Coturnix japonica: one gene and its partner. The protein of the gene in region 2 interacts with the protein of the main gene of each other region in a pairwise test. Links are inferred from orthologs where the notes say so. Each region holds a gene or a part of one and is shown on either strand. Other genes may lie near its edges.

What was found. The genes of interacting proteins can lie anywhere in the genome.
Region 1: the proteins of AP1M1 (region 2) and TGOLN2 interact in a two-hybrid assay, tested with the Homo sapiens proteins (2 studies listed by BioGRID). The link is inferred for Coturnix japonica from reciprocal best matches to the Homo sapiens genes AP1M1 and TGOLN2.

What each region holds. Positions count from the first base shown.
Region 1 is NC_029537.1:27,325-38,103, forward strand, and holds TGOLN2 (trans-Golgi network integral membrane protein 2), read right to left. Parts: upstream 5,757-10,779; 5' UTR 5,698-5,756; coding exon 5,586-5,697; intron 5,277-5,585; coding exon 3,940-5,276; intron 3,199-3,939; coding exon 3,115-3,198; intron 2,978-3,114; coding exon 2,972-2,977; 3' UTR 1,077-2,971; downstream 1-1,076. Other genes in the region: TCF7L1 (transcription factor 7-like 1), read right to left, coding at 7,413-7,786, 7,873-7,933, 8,176-8,283, 8,399-8,558, 8,856-8,999, 9,381-9,464, 9,697-9,799, 10,197-10,329 and 1 more. UniProt on the Homo sapiens protein: May be involved in regulating membrane traffic to and from trans-Golgi network.
Region 2 is NC_029543.1:3,465,482-3,473,719, forward strand, and holds the start of AP1M1 (AP-1 complex subunit mu-1), read right to left. Parts: upstream 6,227-8,238; 5' UTR 6,163-6,226; coding exon 6,121-6,162; intron 5,572-6,120; coding exon 5,415-5,571; intron 5,173-5,414; coding exon 5,105-5,172; intron 4,529-5,104; coding exon 4,398-4,528; intron 4,168-4,397; coding exon 4,020-4,167; intron 3,599-4,019; coding exon 3,472-3,598; intron 3,115-3,471; coding exon 2,972-3,114; intron 2,229-2,971; coding exon 2,157-2,228; intron 1,884-2,156; coding exon 1,725-1,883; intron 1,294-1,724; coding exon 1,168-1,293; intron 516-1,167; coding exon 440-515; intron 1-439. Other genes in the region: protein FAM32A, read right to left, coding at 6,975-7,043, 7,142-7,195, 7,274-7,412, 7,484-7,560. UniProt on the Homo sapiens protein: Subunit of clathrin-associated adaptor protein complex 1 that plays a role in protein sorting in the trans-Golgi network (TGN) and endosomes.

The sequences.
Region 1 (10,779 bases), on a different chromosome or scaffold from region 2:
AGCCCATGAAGGAGTGGTTTTCCCATGAACAGGAACAGGAGCAGCCAGGACATGGAGGAAGTTTTATCTCTGGCACCACAATGAGCACAACAAAGCCTCCCCACTGTGCATGCATGGCTCACTCTGCACTCAGCCTTTAAATCTGTTGCCTCCACCCTGAGGGCCTCTCAGACAAACTCTGCTCCTGTTGGTATTTCTCAGCCATGCTCTGATAGGCCCTGCCCAGCCCTGTAGATAATTATTTGAGGTCAATTAGCAGGACCACTGCCCCGACACAGCCCTGTGCTCTGGGTGCTCGTATCACTGCCTCTTGCTGGGGGACCTCCTGAGCTGCTCCCTCCCTATGCACTCACACTGCCCGTAGGAAGAAAACAGTTTGGAGACCCCTACAGCACATCCAGGTCGGGGTGAGGCTGGGCATGGGGCTTAGAGTTGTTGGAGGAGTCCAATACTTGCTTCTCTGGGAAGTGACCCTGAAGATGCACACAGCAATGCTTTCACCCCTAGTAGGAAGGCTCCAGAGAGCACTCCAGTCCAACACACAACCGAACTGTCTCCATTTTCCATCTCCTGCTTTCACCACTGCCTCCCCCAGGCTCTCAGTGACCCGGCCAAGGGGGAAGAAGTAAAGAAAAAACCACAAATAACCCTCCCCTGCCCCCAGTTTGTCCTCCAGAGAGAAACTGGGGGAAAGTTTCTTGCACCCAGAAACCCTGCTCTGCTGGCAGCACCCTGCCCTGCATTCCTTCTCTCCCAGTTCATCCTAATGCCACCGAGCACTGAATGCTGCTCGAGGAGCCTCCCTGTGGGTGAAGGGGGGAATGCAGATCCTCGCCAGCTGGCTCAGTCTGCTACTGACCAAAGGCCAGTTGGGTGAAAGGCAAAGCACACGGGGAACTCTATAAACAGTCTCCAAGCAAAAGGCCATCTCGTTTCATTCCGCCTGCAGGGTGCTTAGTCATGTGAGGGCTGAGCTGGCATCCATTAATAGAGGCTCTGCACAAAGCCTAGAGCACAAGCAATGATCAAAGAGATTGGGGGGGGGGGGGGGGTGTTAAAGCTAAAGGGCTTAAAACTGTATTTTTTAAGTCATTTATTGACTTTACCACACAGCAGAAAAAAAAAATACAAAGAAATATAAAAATTCTGGTCCTTCAAAGCAAGTTGCGTTGCACTGCAGCAGGAAACAAACTGTGCGCTGCTTTGTGCCAGCAAGGCAGCAGGCCCAGGAGCAGCCCCACCTGGAGAGAAATCATGTACCCAACAGGTACCGTCCATTCAGAAATGTGCCATGGGCAAAAGGAAAAGGCTTCACACTCCTTGACCAGTTTGAAACACATTGCATAAAAAGAGAAAAGAAACACCAGGAGTCGATCCCACAGGTTTGAGGCAAGAGGAGATTTCTCCCGCTCTCCCTTTGTGCTGGAAAACCAGGACACAACTGTAGCCTTCATGGCCAGACAAGGGATCTTCCCTGCCCTCATCACCCTGCAGCCATGGGGAGGGTCACCCTTCATGCAGGGCTGGGGATAGGCAGCCCCTCCAGCCTCAAAGCAGGGACAGGACTCCTCTGTGCGGCTCTGGGTACACGTGTACCCATGTGAATAGCCCTCCATGTGTCACAGCCGTCATTTTCTGCCCAAATAGGATAAAAAACTAACTAAGAAGCTGGGCACTTTACACACATCCTTCAAAAGTGCCCTATCTTGAGTAAGTATCTTTGGAGCAGAACTACAAAAACAAGACCAGCGTAACAGCTACAGCTCAGGAATCAATACACTTTGCAGTCTTCAATACAACCAGTGCTAGTACATCCCAGGCCCTCATTTAAGTGCCCCACAGTGACGCTGAGAAAACAGCAACAAGCTGCTGGTGAGGTGTACATTCAATCACGTTAAACCCCATTAGCAGGCTGAGGACAGAGCAGCAGAAGAGCAGAGAGGTTTGGGAGCTGTGGGACAAACCCTCCCTCTCACAGGGCAGCTGCCTGGGAAACACCTTAGTGCAAGCGCTGCACCTTTCCTGTTGAAGAGCCTCAGTACTTGAGAAGAGGTTTGAATGACTGCAAATTTCATTCATCCCAAACACTATCACCCACTCTGCATCATCATGACAATGTTTTAACAACAGGGAAGAGTTACCTTTTTGAGGTTAAGTTTGCTCCATCACTGCAGCTGTATGGCACAGAACTTCGTAAGCCTGAATGGCTTGCTTTCGCAGCATCAAACTAATTGTCCTCATTAGTGCAAGCATCTCAGCTGTGAGGACCACAAGGGAACAGAGCCACGTGGAGCACAACTGCCATAGGGCAGGTAAGGAAGTCTAAACTACAGCCAGAGGGCAGCTCCAACACTCCCAGAGGAGTGCATTAAGGTGAGAATTGTTATGTGAAGCAAACATCACCTTCATCGCAGAGGAAGAAAAGAAATCAAAGCAGAGTCCTTGGCAGATCATTTCCAAGCTAGTGCAATCACGCTCCAAACTTCAGCATCCAAATGCAATGGACAGAGAAAGAGATTGTTGGTGCCTCCAGCAGGACAGTGCTGGTTACAAAGGCAGCTCTATGACTCTGAAAGGAGAGAATCAGATGGCTCATTTCGCAGGTGGATTTTTCTCAAGAGATGTCGGTACAGTAGCTGGCAAATCCCATTTCGTTTAGACATGAAAGTTCTGTCAAGTGCCAGAGCTGGCTTCTCTTGGGCCACGGTCTAGAAACCAGACGCCCACGCAGAAACCGATTCATTTTCAGGCCGCTGGGAAAGGAGAAACACATTTTAAGGAAGTGAGAAGTCGAACATTACCAAGGTGCAGGTGCAAAAGTAAAAGCATTTCCCCTTCTTCCTGTTCTCTGAGATCCGAAGACGACAGCAAAGCTATGATTCAGTGCTACAGAGGGCAGTTGATGGTGTCCCACCATTCTGGTCCCGTTGTCGCCAAGCAGCATTCTTCCACTGAACACCTGAAGAGGAATCTAGATCTGGAAAGGGAAAAAAGAAAAGCTAAAACAATGTGAAAGCTCACAATGGCTTCCTATCACAGAAAATAACTACAGATGCACGTGAATCCAAAGTTTCAAGGGGAAAACACGACGGACTTCTCCAACCCCCTCCTTACCTTTTGATCCAGCCGCTGATAATCGCCGGATTTGGGCCGCCGACCGCCTTTCGAACGTTTCCCTTCCAGGGCAAAAGCGATGATCTTTGGAGAGAGAGAGGCAGGACAAGGTGAGCAGGACAGGAACGACCACATGCAGTTTTTCTGACTTCTAACAGAGGCACTTTCTAGTGGGCCAATGAGAAGCATCACTCGCATCCTTCTAAAAGTACTTGAAATAAACATCATTTAAAAGCAGCTCAGATTGAAAACAGGAAATGATGAGGCTTTCCCAAACATGGCAAAACAGTTTTCCACAGAAAACAGTTAAGAAGTTGATCCCTCTCCTACCACAAAAACAGGTTTGCAGGAGGGACAAAAACAGCAGAAAAGATGGGCTTTATCACTTGGGCTGTATTCCCCTGTGCAGTGCTATTTAAAGGCGAGTCTTTCACAACCTGGTACAGAAAACTCATTGTCCATAAGAAACACAGAGCAACTGCACAGATCTTTTCCTTTTCTCCTCGCTCAGTTCCATTTCTCACTGCTGAAAATAACCGCTGGAGCTGAGGCCATCCCATTTCCATGGAGATCCAAATGCTTTCCTGGTTACAACACTCCTCCCTGCTCATCTCAAAGCTGTTGAGATCAAGGCCTCAAATTAAACACTAAACAAACCCACCCAGCAAGCAGGAGGCTTCAGCAGGAAGCAAAAGGCAAAAATGAGAGCAGCAAAGGGGAAAGATGTTCAGCCGAGCATGTCCCCACCTGCAGCACCGACCAACGACTGCGAAGGAAGCTTTTAAACCACAGGGGGGAACTTGGGCAAGGAGCAGAACCACTCACCTTCCGCTTGTTGTGATAGGCAACATACAGAACAGCAACAATAATCCCCGTGGTCACCAGATAGGCAAAGAAGTGGCTGTTCTCTGACTTCTTCCCTGGAGAAACAGGAATACTCTTCTCTCTCTCATTAAATGAGGCAGCACCATTACCATTCCTAAACCCGTTCTCTTCCTCAGGGAGTTCGTCACCATCTGGGGAGCCTTCTGTGTCATGAACAGATGAAACTGACTGTGAGGGCTGCCCATTATTTTCCACTGAGTCTTCCTGGTCGCCCTGATTGCTGTCCTGCATGTCGGTGCTGTCTTGTTGCTGGTTGTCGCTGCCTTGCTGGTCATTCTGACCGTTGGCATCGTCGCTCTGTTGGTCGGTCTGGCTGTTGGTGTTGCCATCATGCTGCGTGTTGCTGGGTTGCTGGTTGGTCTGGCTGTTGGTGTTATCAGGCTGCTTGTTGGTCTGGCTGTTGGTGTTATCATGTTGCTCATTAGTCTGGCTGTTGGTGTTGCCATGTTGCTGGGTGCCGCTGCCTTGCTGGTTGGTCTGACTGTTGGTGTTATCAGGCTGCTGGTTGGTCTGACTGTTGGTGTTACCAGGCTGCTTGTTGGTCTGGCTGTTGGTGTTGCCATGTTGCACATTGTTCTGGCTGCTGCTGGTGTTGTCATCATGCTGGTTGGTCTGGCCATTGCCCTTGTCAGTGTTCTCTTTCTGGCTGTTTTGGTTACCAGCACTGCCATTTTTCTGGCCACTCTGGCCATTGGTGTTGCCATTTTGTGTGGTCTGACTGCCCTGCTGGTGGTTACTTTGGCTGTCGGTCTTGGTGCCCTGATTGCCACTATTGTGGCTGCTCTGCTCCTGATCATCACCATGCTGGGTATTGCTTTGGCTGTCAGTGTTTTGGGTGCTGGGTTGGCCAGCAGTGTTGCCAGACTGTGTGCCACCGCTGCCACTGCTCTGGCTGGTGCCTTGGCCCCCACTGCCACCGTTGCCGTTGTTCGGGTTGGTGCCTTGGCCTCCATTGCCATCATTGCCATTGTTCTGGCTGGTGCCTTGGCCCCCACTGCCACTGTTGCTGTTGCTCTGGCTGGTGCTTTGGCTCCCAGTGCCATCATTACCATTGCTCTGGCTGGTGTCTTTGCCCCCATTGCTCTCTTCCTTGTCTTTATCGCCTTGTTTCCCTGTCCCTCCGGGCTGCGTCTCAATCCCGTTTGTGTTTTGACCGGCACCACCAGCTCCTCCCCCGTTATTTGTCCCTCCGCCGTCTCCATCCTGTGCCCCGTTGGATCCTCCGCCGCCTGTTGAAGTGCTGGATGGCTGCGTGAGCTCCGCTCCCTGCTCCCCGCCTGCCACAAACACACCGAGCCCGCAGTTACCACCCGGACCCGCAGTTCCGTTACCGGCTCCCGTTACCGCGCTGCCTCCCGCCCCGAGCGTCCCGCCGCCCCGTTAAGGTTCCGCCGAGCCCCGACTCCCCGCGGTCATTGACGCGGCGGTTCCTCGCCCCGCCGGGATCACTCACATCATCCACCCTCGGCCCGGCCGCGCTCACGGGATCCCGGCAGCTCCCGCGGACACAGAGCCCGTAAAACCCGGGGCCGTGGGACACGTGTCCGCTCCCGGCTCCCACCAGCTCCCCCCGCACCCCGCGCTACCTCCGGCTCCGGCCCCGTTACTGGTCCCGTCCCCGTTACTGGTCCCGTCCCCGGTCCTGGCGGCGATGCCGAGGAGCAGCAGCAGCAGCAGCGGAACCACCCGCAGCGCCATGCCGGCCCGCTGCTCTCACCCGGATACAGCCTGCTTCCGCTTCCGCTTCCGCTCAAAACGTCACTTCCGGCACGCGGCTGACGGCCGGCAGGGGCCGGGGCTTGTGTGAGTGGGCGTGGCCATGCAAAGCAGGGGGCGGGGCTCGGCGAGGGAGGGGCGCGCCGGTAGAGCCGAGTGGGGGCGATTTGGGGTCAAAAAGGGGGATTTTGGGGTCAGAAAGGGGGATTTGGGGTCAAAAAGGGGGATTTGGGGTCGGACCGGGCGCTCTGGGCCTTGGCGCTGCCCTTCTCCTCGTGGGACGTTTCCCCATCCCATCCCTGGGCACTGACTGCAGCCCACGATCCGCTGAGCGGGGCGGGATGAGATCGAATCCATCAGCAAATGGGAAATTAACGGCAATTAACGGGTACGAGGCGCGGCCTCACCCCGGTGCAACGCGACATCTGGCGGGACCCCCCCCCCGGCCCCGGGCAGCTCCTAATTAGCTCCATCTCCGCAGGGAGCTCATTAGGCGTCTCAATTAGTGAGCGGGCAGCGCAGCCCCGGGGGGTCTGTTGGACGGCGGCCATTAGGGATGGGATGGAGTGACCCAAAGGAAAACGGGGCCGGCGGAGCAGCGACGTGTCACCGCAGGGACACGGACGGCACGAGGCCGCTCCCTGGTGGCCGGGGACACACGGACACACGGACACACGGACACAGGCCGGGCTGAGCGGGACTCGGAGCGGCCGGGCAGGACGCGGCGCCTTCATATGAGCCGCCCCACGAGCAGCAGCTCCTCGTGCCTCCGTCCTCCCGAAGGGACCATCCGGACCCAGCGCACCCGACAGATGTTCGTGCTCCGTATGGGAACACGCCGAGCCAAACAAAGAAAGATTCTCCCGCTGAAGTCCAACATCTGTTTGAAGCCGTCTGGCTCCGGTCCAGACTTTAATTCTTGTGACAGGTCTCTTCATGCCTTTAATTTCCCATGAAATCCCATTCAAGGCGCTGCTCGGCCGCATCCTGCTCCTGGTGTCGGCTGAGTGGCTGCGGCCCTTTGCAGGACAGCGGTTTTTGGCTTTTCTGACCCAAAAAAAAGGTTTCGGCTCTTGGAGCTGCAGCACAGAGCAGGGCTCCAGGCTGACATCGGCAGCGCTCAGCAGTGCCGGCCTTCCTGCACGGACCACGCTCACGCAGCAAAGTTGCAGCTGTAGTTTTATTTTCTTCTTTTTTTTTTGTTTTGTTTTCTTTTTGTGAAAAATAACAGGGATTCAATGAGAAACCCCCCCCCCAGCCCCACCCCATGTCCCCCCAGCCCAGCACCGAGCTGGGGACGGGGTCCAGCTGTAGTGGGATGGCACTGGGGGCACTGGGGGCACTGGGGGCATCAGCACTGGATGCCCAGCCTGAGGAAAGGTCCTTTTTCTTTTTTTTTTCTTTCTCTCTTTTATTCTTAAAAAATATTAAAAAACACAAAAAAACATTTCCCTCCCCCTCCCCCCCCCCTTTTTTTTTTTTCTTTTTTAATAAAAACAGTCTTTAGGTCGACTGCTGGTAAAGGGAAAGAGCCTCTTCCTCCAGAGTCTGCTTCCCAAAAGACAAAAAGAATAAAACACAAAAAAAAACAGTTCAGAAAAGGTCAAATATTGACCAATAAAGGTTTGGCTGCGTTGGGAGTCGTGATTGTGGCGGCTGCGGTGCAGGGCGGTGGGGGGCTCCTGCTCAGCCCACCCTCAGTCGGCCGGTTTGGTGACCAGCGCGAGCGGCTGCGTCTGCTGCGGGGCAGGAGGGGAGGGGAGCAGCAGCGAGGGGAAGGCGATGGGCCGGGGGAGCAGCGACGGGGGGGAGCCCAGGGAGGAGGAGGAGGAGGAGGATTTGCCGGAGAGGAAGGCGAGCTGAGCCCTGGCCTCCGGCTTGGTGGTGAGCGACAGCGGCTGCGCCTGCTCCGAGTGTGTGGCTGCGGGCGCAGCCGGGGAGGCCAGGGCGGCTGACGGCGTGGCAGGTGAATCCAACATGCTGCCGTGGGACGAGGCCGGGCTGTCGCAGGGTTTATCGGGGGGCAGGTGGTGTGGGGCGCACGGCTTCTTGCTCCTGGAGGGCAGAGCACCTGCGGGGTGTGGGGCAGGCGCTGAGTGTGGGGGCAGAGGGGGGAACGTGATGGCCACGGCCGCCCCTTCCCCCCCGGGTACTCACTCTCTGCCTCGTGGCTCTGCTGCTGGGCCAGCTTCTCTCGCTTCCTCTTCTTTTTCTTGCCCTGTGAAATATTGCAAAGCACTGAGGTGTGATGGTGGGATGCTCCACGGGATGGACAAAGGCTGAGGGGGGGTGATACAACGCCACAGAGCAGCACATGGTGATACAGGGGCTCATGGTCACACTGGGGTCATGGTGACCCAGGGGGTGATGTGGGCCGGCACCGTGGTGTCCCCCCAGCTCAGCCCCACCACCCTCAGGCCTCCCAACCCCACTGAACTGGGGAATGTGGGTCACACTCACGTAGTTGTCGCGGGCAGACCACGTGGGGTAGAGCTGTGAGTGCAACTGCCGTTCCTTGCGTGCCAGCTCGTAGTACTTGGCCTGCTCCTCCCGCGACAGCGAGTGCCACTGCAAGGGGAAAGGACACTGCGGACCCCAGGGACACACGGCAGGCAGTGCCTGCAGGTCCCCAGCACAGCCATGTTGGTGTGCAGGCAGATGAAGGCACGAGGGAGACACGTACCCGTCGGCCCAGGATCTGGTTGATGGCCGCGCTCTCCTTCAGCGTGCATTCAGCAACGACCTTCGCCCTCATCTCTTTCATGTACAACATGAAAGCATTCAGAGGCTTCTTGATGTGGGGCTTCTTCTCCTCCTCCTTCTTTACTGTGATGGGGGATTTCCTGCAGGGGGCAACATGCAGGCTCAGCTCCATATCCCCCTTCCTATTCCTGTCCCTGCTGCCATCCTCATCCTCATCCCCATCCCCATTCCTGTCCCTCCCCACCCCATCCTATCTCCATCCCAATCCCAATGCCAATCCCAATCCCAATCCCAATCCCAATCCCAATCCCAATCCCAATCCCAATCCCAATCTCAATCCCATCCTAATCCCCATCCCATCCCCATTCCCATCCCCATGCCATTCTGTCCCCATCCTGTCCCTGTCCCCGGCACCACCCCCCCATGTCCCTACTCACGAGCTGCTGCCAGGGCTGGCGCTGGGCTGGGCAGGCTCCTGCTTCACAATGGGTGAGACGATGGTGGGGTGTGGGATGCCTGAGGGGTGCAGACCGTGGGTGGGCGGCGGGACCATGTGTGGGGAGAAGCGGCTGGACATCAGGCTGCAGTGGAGGGAGTGGGGTTGTCAGCCCTCCCACAGGCATCAACAACCCCAAATGTCCCCCCAAATCCTACTGAGGATCTCTTGGGATTAGAGACTCTTCCCCGAACTGCTGGGGACTTGTTTGTGGCTGAACTTGGCACCATAGAGCCAAGGGACATCACTCTTCACACACAGAGTCACCATGGGGCTGTTTCTGGCCAGCGTGGGCCAGTGCAGTCACCCACACGGAGCTCAGGGTGCCCAAGGAGGTCCCTTGTCCCTGCTCAGAGCCACGCGGCCATGGGGACACGAGGACATAGGGACTTACGAGGACATGGGGACCTACGAAGATATGGGGACCCACCTGGCCATGGGGACCCACCAGGGTGCAGGGACCCACCTGGACATGGAGGCGTTCATGGCGAGGGCGGGGTAGGGGTGCCGAAAGCCGCCGGGGGGGATGGAGTACATGGGCTGTCCTTGCCTGCAAATGCACGAGCTGCAGCAGACACAGGGACAAGCCCCCTCCCCACAACACCGGGACTCTTGGCTCGGTCCCCAGCCGATCCCAATGGGGACAACATCCCACATTTCCACCAGAGCACAGTCCCTCCCTTCCCCACCCCATCGCACCCAGCTCGCTGGGAACCAAGGAGCACATGGGGTGCATGGGCCAGGGACGCAGTGGGGCCGGGGCAGGAGGAGCCCATCCTTACTGCGGCACAAGCCAGCCCAGCGGGTGAGGGATCTGACCCACAGCTCCTGGCGACAGCGGGTAGTAGGGGGGCAGCTCGGGAGGGTGCGGCGGGCGCGGGATCCCTGTGGGGGGAGCAGCATTAAACCCACCTCACTGTGAGCATCCACCTCCCTACAAGCATCCACCCCCCTATCAACATTCACCTCTACATAAGTGCTCATTTTCCTGTAAGCACTCACCTCCCTGCATTTCCCCCATTTCCCTACGAACATTCACATCCTTACAGGCACCCATCTCCCTACAAGCACCCATCTTCCTAAATGCACTCAACCCCCTATAAGCACCCCTCTCTCCACGAGCGACCCTCTCCTTACAAGCACCCATCTCCCTACAAACACCCATCTCCCTATAAATACCCCTCTCCTTTATAAGACCCCCTCTCCATCTGAGCATTCATCTCCCTATAAGCACTCCCTTTAAACATCCCTCTCTCCATGCAACCCCTCTCCCCCCACTCACCCGTTTTGGGGTCGATGTCAGGTGAGAGATGCGCGGGCGGCGAGCCAGGAGAGAAGTGGTCATTGCTGTAGGTGATGAGCGGCGTCAACGGGTGCATGTGGGGCGCATGCTGCACCACCGGGACCTTGTTGGACTGTAGGGGATGGGAGGAAAGATACAGTGATCCACCCCAAAACACAGCCCCCCCCAAGGACACCTCCCCAAAACACAGCCCCTAGAACGCCACCCCCAGCTGAAGCTCTGTTTGCTTCTGTGGGGTCTGAGGCCACAACTCAGTGGGGTTTGGGGCCGTATCTCAGTGGGGTTTGGGGCCGCAGTCCTTACCAGGTGTGCGGGTGACGGTGAGCGGCTGTCCTTTAGTGTGGCCCCAGCCGGCACATCCAGCAGCGGCCACTTCATCTGCAGGTACTGCCAGAGCAAAGAGCTGTCAGCACAGCACCCCACACCCCACTGCACCCCACAACGCCCCCAACACCCACTGCAGGCTCAGCCCATGGGGCTGATAGCACATTGGGGTGCCTCTTCTCAGCCCCATCAGCCACCACAGCCCCATAAAAGCAGATTTGGGGGATGCAGCAGTGCC
Region 2 (8,238 bases):
CCAGGAACAGCAAAAGCAGTCTGAATAGCAAAACAAGTAATAATGAAAAGCAGCAGAATTGGTTTGTTTTTTCTTTTCCTTTAGCAGACTTGGTGGTTCTTAGCAGACAGTATCTCAGCCAGCCCAAAGCCAGCAAAATGATATGTACGAATCAGTTCTCTTTTAATTCATATTTCTCCCCAGATTTAAGTATTTCATAATGAAAGTCACATTCAGTGAACAACAGTGCTGTCTAAATGAGCATTTCAATAAGATAGTTGAGTAAGAAAAAAAAAGACTAGAAAAATCAGCAAGCATTAATGTCATGTACATATACTGCAGTGTTTAATACTGAAACACAAGAACAGTTTGCTCATATCTTCAATTTGTTGGTGTATGCTGGAGAATTAAAATACATTAAGACAGAGATTATGTTTATAGTTCATTGCTTTCAATTTACCTCCATTCTGGGTAATGTAACGAACCCATGGGAGAGCCTGATAGCCACTCTTCTCAATTATCTTTAAGTATCGAACCTGGGAAGAAAGAAAAGTTAAATATGAATCTCCCGTGTCAGCCAAGCATTGTTTAGCAAAAAATAAAATGAAATCAGGGATGATTGGGTGGGCAGCGATGATCTATGGATATAGATCATCGCTGATGATAGATATATGGATATATATGGTATTGATAGATAGATATAGATAGATATATGGATATATATGGTATATTCTATGGATAATAATAACAGAAATTATCCAGATGTGCAAAACTTTAGATGTAAACATAAACTGTCGTCACTTGCATTAACAGTGTGCTTTCCATATGAAATAATGCAGCCAGTCCTATCATTCTCTTTACAAGATTCCCTTAAAGCCGGGAAAAATAAAAAATAAAATAAAACAAACAAACAAACAAAAAAATCAGACTTGCCTCAGTAATAAAGAAACACTTTTGGTACTTCAAAGTGAAGGGCAGGAAGATGTTTGTGAATGAGACAGTGACAGCCAGGAAAAGCAGGACAAAAACAACAGCAAAATGACACCAAACCATGGAACAATTACACAGCAAAAATTACACCAAACCAAGGAACAAGGCAGACAAAGCTACAAAGCTGGGCTGCATCAGCTTGTGTGTCAGGAGCCTAGCACACAGCCTCCTTCTGTATTTCTGTTTTCAACTACCAACCTGGATTCCTGAAGTGGTGAAATATGGAATCTCAAATTTGACACTAATGGGAGGTTTCCCTTCCTTGTCTTCAGCTTCAACACTTGGAAGTCCAAAGTGAGCCCTCATCAGATATTCTTTTCCACCCTTACAAAAAAAGAACAATTTTTTTTTTTCTTGAAACAAGAAAAGCTTCCAACAATACAAGTGATTTTCTATGCAGAATATCAAATTGATGAACTGCATTTATTACTTCAGATTCTTTTCTAGGGCTAAGAAGGAAGTACTTGTTTTTATTTAAAAATAGTGGTGTTTGGTTTTTGTTTGTTTTGTTGCTTTTAAATATAGATCAACTTAAGACCAGTTTGAGGCATAATTCATCTTCCTCTGGTCTTATCCTCAACGAGAACATTAGAAGTTTGGCTTTCTTTCTGACCATTTTCATCACATAGCACGGTAGCTGTACTATCACTATGGAGCATTTGATGCTTTTAGAATTTGCCTTAGGCTGAGTCATAAACCATTAACTTTAAGTAATTATTGTACTATTGGGTGAGAAGACTAAAAATAGCACTTACTGGAAAAGACTTGATGGACCAGACAATTTCACTGTTCTCTGGAACCCATTTGACACTTCCAACAGTGGTTTTAAACTTTGGCGAATCCGCATCATTTGGAACTGGAATGTGAATCTCCACATTGTTGGCAGTCGATCTACGTTTAAACTGACTTTTTGCCTAAAGAAAAGTGAGAAAAAAAAATTAAAAAAATCACATCTCTAAGCACATACACTACACATGTAAATTCAGAGAGCTGTGAGATAATTTCCCTCTACCACAATCTACTGAGAAACAGCACAATACAGAACATTAACACAAATGAACTTCACTAAAAAGACACAAATCCCAGGGAAATAGTAGGTGTTTGTGTAAGCAGGAATGCACTCTGCTGGTCAAGCACTGAGAACAAACAAAAGACAAACCAGCCATAATAATTTTAGTACTTCTGACCTTGATCATGTACTCGATGCGGCTGTGGGAATGTTTTTCAATCACAGACTCAATCCAGATCAGTGGCTTTACCTGATGGGAAAGATATTTTACAACTGTAGATTTTACTTTGGCATGTGCACAAAATTGTAATTTCCTCACAAATCTACACTGAATACATTAATTCTGTAAGTAAGCACTGACATACAAGCAAAATGTGGCTAAAAAATGGCAGGCATCGAGGGGGGGAAAAAAAAGAAAGAAGTATTTCTCAGATTAGTTCCTAACATCTTCAGTTGTCAAACACATCTCCACGTATGTGCAGGTCTTTTTGTTTTGTTTTCTGTAACTGTTTTGCTGGTCTCCTGTCACAGCTGACAATTAAATATTTCCTCTTTGCTAAATATTTTCTTTTCAAAAAGAATGTTAACTTATACAGCAGCTGCTACCTTGAGGAGCCAGGAATATGGTATGTTAACATACTCCAAGAAATATTCAGCTAACAAATTAACACTGTCAAGCACAATAAATTGCCACAATAATTTTATAGCATTGTTAGCTTAAAAATGAACTAATTCATGCTTTGAAAATAGTTTCAATAGAAGTTGAAAAGATAAGAGACTTACTGCCAAGTTATTCCTAACCTCATTCTTACTTCCTCCAAAAACAGCAAGCACAAAGCGTTACTACTAATGGTTGACTTCACAACTACTATGCTGCCCATACTTAAAGAAAAAACAAAACACATCACGGGAAAGTCATCAGCAATTCTACCTACAGGCTAGATTATTCTCATAAAAAACTGCTATGGTTCAGACCCAAACATCCAGACTTACGTGGGTATTGAGGCGATAGGACATGAGTTCAAACTCTCCATCAGGTGGGATGAAAGAAATCGTCCTGTCATTTTCAAAGCGAGAGAGACGAACACACTGATGGAACTTCACGTCTTCCAGTTCTACTGATTTACTTTTGCCACCTATCAGAAAACACACATGCCAAGATTTCAAATCACTGCTCCCATTGCATCTGAAGTCACATCAGAGCATTATATAGCAAAGCAGATGCCTGCTGATATCCTTCACACCTGGGTTTAGCCCAGTATTTTTTCTAAGACTCCAAAAGTCCCAGCAGAAGAGGCAATGAAGCCCAGATGGTTACCATGTTCACTGTGGTATCCCATCTTCTCTTGGTATTGCCACACAAGACCTAACCTGGTTTTCTACATTGATTAAACAAGTGTTTTCATCACAAAATCTATGTTTTCACTTGAACCTCACCAAATCTTGCAGAGAACACCCATCACAATTTCAAAAGATATTGCTGAAATACTCACGGCCTGTGTTATCAAAGAGAACTTTGTCATTTAAACCAAGGCGGAGCTCTGGCATTCCTGAGAGAAAGACTCTCATTTTAATGGATCCAACTATTTCACTCCGTAATACATTTCCATTGGCACTAACCTGAAGGGTAATGAAAAGAAAGATAAAGGTTGCCCTAACACAATATGATATGAGATCAAACAGCAATCCCACCCCATCCTCAAGCCCCGGGTCTCCGTGGATGCTTTTCTTCCGAGCAACCAATCCAACACAGTACAATCAGACTAAGGACAAAGTGGGAATAGACTGAAAGAGAAAGGAAGGACACATTGGAAACCAACTCTGGGACTACTGGGCACAGAGCACAAGTTCCAGTAAATGATTATTTATCTCTGGCTGTCATTACAGATTGTCAGTTTCAATGACAGACAGCATCCCAGCACACTAATCATGGTTAGGCTGATTTTTTAATATATAATATATAATATGTTTTCAGACAGTAAGTTCTTCTCAAGACTTCTACTAATAATTCTCATTAAAAGTTCAAGTAAAAGGTACCCACCAAAAGGTTAACAGACTCTATAACATCCAGGAACACTTCATTCTTCCTATATTTTATCCCTTCTGATCTCCATGAAACAGCATTTGTAACAGTGGCAGGTGGACGTGGAGCTCCAGTTTCAAGTTTGTGACCTTCCTGAGTGATGTACCTTTATAAGCACAGAATTAGAACAAAAAATACAAATTATACTCTGAAAAATCTGAAGTGTCTTTTATATCAGATACACATCATCAATAAATAAGTTGGATATTATAATACTTTATCAAGTATTAAATATTTTGATAACTAGAGGAGGAACCCAAAACATTTGTTTGCATGCAAAATACAAAGACTTTCCCAAGGACTTTACAAATATGAGCAATAAAGACTGATACTTACTCTTGTAAAATTTTACTATCAGTGGTTTGTGGGTAACCAAAATCCATAAGCTCATCTAACAACTCATAAATAATAACAAAATTATCTCTAATGCTCTCTTCTTCCAACTCCTTGAAATATTCAGAAAAAACCTGAAACAACAAAAAAAAGAACGAGAGGGAAGGAAAAAAAGAAGGACATGAGCTGAGGAACTACAGCATATTCTGAATGTATTCCTATAACTAACAAGAGTTTGGAAGAAAAAAAGGAAAAAATAAATAAATCACCAAAACAAAACTCATAATTCCTAAAAACATTCTGTCCAGATTAGCAGCAGGAAACTCACCTCAATTAAAAGGGGGTTAAAGAGACCAAGAAATAAGTCTGATCATTACAAAAAATATTTATGCTGGGAAAAACAGTTGTGATGCCAGTTCCAAATTAACCCAACACAGCACCTATATATGGCACTATTCATACATCAGTGTTTTCCTCTGTGTTCTCGGGTCATGTGCAACTACTCACAGCATTGTGTCACATCCTTTGCCTACTCAGTTATAAGATATCAATTCCATTCTTAGTGGTTAGGAAGACATTTCTATCAAATAATCAAATATAAAGGAAAAATAGTATAGATTCTATTTAAAAAAAAAAGTGAAAGCTCTATGCATTTTTATTAGATCACACTGAAAAATAGATGGGAAATAAATCCAAAACTTCCTACTCACCTGAACTACTTTATATAAAAATGAAAACACCAGTGATACACAAGCATTCTTCTTAGAAGTTGCAACAACTAATAAAGGATGTTCAGGAACACGCATTCAAAGTCATGGTGTGATGAAAAGCATTTTACTGAGTGTGCTTTTAAAAGCATTGTAAAAGGGGCAGCCTGATCTGGTGCCTGATTTAGTTTGTGGCAGCCATGGCTGAGGCAGCAGGGTTGGAACTGAAAGATCTTTGAGGTACCTTCAACCCAAGTCATTCTATGATTCATTCAATGATTCACACGTAGGTTGCCTGCAGCACAAAGGATACGATAGAGGTTGTTATGTTTAATCCACATGAAACGAACTCCTCCATGTGCTAGAATAGGAGAAAGCGTTCCCTCTTCTTCCTTTTCCATAAGGATTGGCATAAAATGCTCCACTTCTGACATGTCCACATCCCCACGGTAATTTCGACAGATGAGAACCTACGGAAAGAACAATTCCTTACACTTTTCCTTTGAGAGATGACGTTACCATGCCAGACCAGCACAGGGGATAGTTAAAATACCTCTTAACTGAAAAACCCACATATCAAGCTTTAATCAATGGTCTATACATACTACAAACGCAAACCAAAGTGCCATTATATGTTGCAATTTGAACGCAAATCCCCAAGCTACGCAGTCGTATCTCCTAGTGTTATTCCTCACACAGCTACGCACACCCTAATAATAATAACTTTTGAGATGGAAAAACACACCGCTCTCCTGGGACAAGCCTCCTCCCATTAGGGCTGATATTACTGACCGCAGTTGTGATGCTCGGGGCTGTGCAGGCAGGGCCGCTCCCCGACTCGGACAAGGCGGGACCGCCCCACAGCTCGGGGCAAACAGCGAGCGGGAAGGGGAAGCGGCGGCCGCAGGGCAGCGAGGCCGAGAGAGCCCCACGGTGCCGGGCCCCGCCGAGCCCAGGACGGGCCCGACGCTCTCGGCAGCTCGGGGTGAAGGGCGCCCACAGCCGCAGCGCGGCCTCACCTTTCCCTTCAGGTCCAGCACGTACACGGCGCTGGCCGACATCGCGCCGCCCGGGGCCGCCGCGCCCGCCGCGCCCGATCACAGTCACAGCGACTTCCGCTTCCGCCCGCCACTTCCGGTAGGAAGCGGCTGCACAAGGTCCGGCCGCGCGGAGGGATACGCGCAGTGATCCGCCGGCAGCGGAACAGCACTTAAGGCACCGATTGCTGACGTTAAGTAGTGCGCGGCCGGCTGAAGTCCGCAGTTAGGAAGGCTGAGGAGCCCCGGGACGGGTCAGCGGTACCAGAGGGAAAACGCTTGGGTTGAATTAGTGTGTGAGGGTCTGGGATGTGATTCACATCACCTGTGAGAGCTGTAAATGCAGCCATACAGACTGCATGCAGCACACCACCCTCACTGCAGGGAAAGGAGCACCGAAATAATGGATAAAAGGAGCTTTTTAATAAGTTACAGTAAAGACATAAGGATTGTAGAATACAGCAGACACCACTGCCCCAACTCAGAGATTTTATATAGGAATTACACAGTTCTGCCACTGATAAGAGCAGCTCATACAATGTAATGCTGCCACAGACTGCTTCTTCTAAGAGCTGCTGGCATAGGACAAATAAAGGAACATTCTCCTGTTGTCTCACAGCAATTGGGTTCAGCTTTGAGCACTGAAAAACACCCCATAAGTCAACAGCCAAAGAAGAGGTTTTGTTGAGTATTTTGAAACTGAAATACGGCAGTACAAGGTGATAAATGTTCCGAAGACATATGAAATATTCAGTATCATGAATACGGAGGTTTACACGGCAGCCCTGTTTGGTGTGAGCACAACTCCTGACCCGAGGCCCCGAAACGCCGCCCGTTCACTTGGTCCAGCTGACTTTGGGGATGTCGTAGTGCTCCGTCAGAGTGTCCAGGTGCCTGTTGAAATCCTGAGGGGCAGCAAAGGAACAGAGCGCTCAGAATTGGAGCATTCACCATCGCGCAGCCCTCCCCACAGCGCTGCCCAGCTGATGGTACTTCCACTCACCTCAACTCTCTGTTTGTGTGTTTTCGAGGCCTTCTTCAGGATCCTCTCCATTTGCTGGAAGAAGACACAAGATCACAGTTATTGCCGTGGGGTTCCGACCCGCCCCACGTCCCGGGGGCAGTGCGGCCCTACCCGCTTCTCCTGCATCTTCTCGTAGGCCACTTGCGCCGGGGTCCGCTTATCCAGGCCGCGCTTCTTCTCCTCTTCCTGCTTCTTGCTGCTCACGATCTGCTCCAGGATCTTGGCCTTGTCCTTCGCTTTCTTCTTCTTCCTGCGGACAGACGCCGCTCAGCTCCCAGCCCCCGGCCCGGCTCCCGGTTCCCCCCTCTCCCTGCCGCTCACCGTTTGCCGGCCCCCAGCCCCGCTCCGCCGCCCTTCAGCCGCAGCGGCCCGCGCTGCACCGCCTCGTAGTCCGCCATCGCTCGGCCGCCCAGCGCCACAGCGACCCCTGGCGGCAGCGCCGTTCCCGCCACAGGGCGCTGAGGTAAAAGCCGTTACAACCCGAGCGGCCCCGAAGTGCCCGGCCACAACCCGAACCTCGAGCCCAACCCACGGTGTTCCACTCCGAACCGACCGAATCTGAATCGCTGCCGCTTGTTTTAAGGCACCTTAAGGGTGAGTGAAGCTGTGCGGCTCCTGTGGTGCTGCTGTTAGTTCCACACCCTACCCTTGTGTTTCACGTTTAACTCACGGTTCTGTTTTCATGTATAAACAATGCAATCTCTTGTATTTTCAGTGTAAAAGCCACATATGGACCTGTATATATGCATGCTTGTCACACTAATGGACATTAACTAGAGATAATGTGTGTTAATGGAGAGATAGAGGGGCTAAGAGGACTTTACAGGTATTGCCCCAAGAAAAGCCAATACTGACATTAGTGAGCAATGCAGTGTGTGTTGTAGCGAAAAATGAGACAAAAAAGATCAGTGGTGACCACCACTGTGACCAGCTCCGAGCATTCAGCGCCAATCTTAACAAGTAAAGGCATTACCAACACTATTCAGGTAATTTGCCATATGAAGGAATGAAGATGTGCTGTCTGCGAGCCCTGCCCGCTGCTGCAAAGGCACAGACCAGAAGCTATTAGTCGTGTG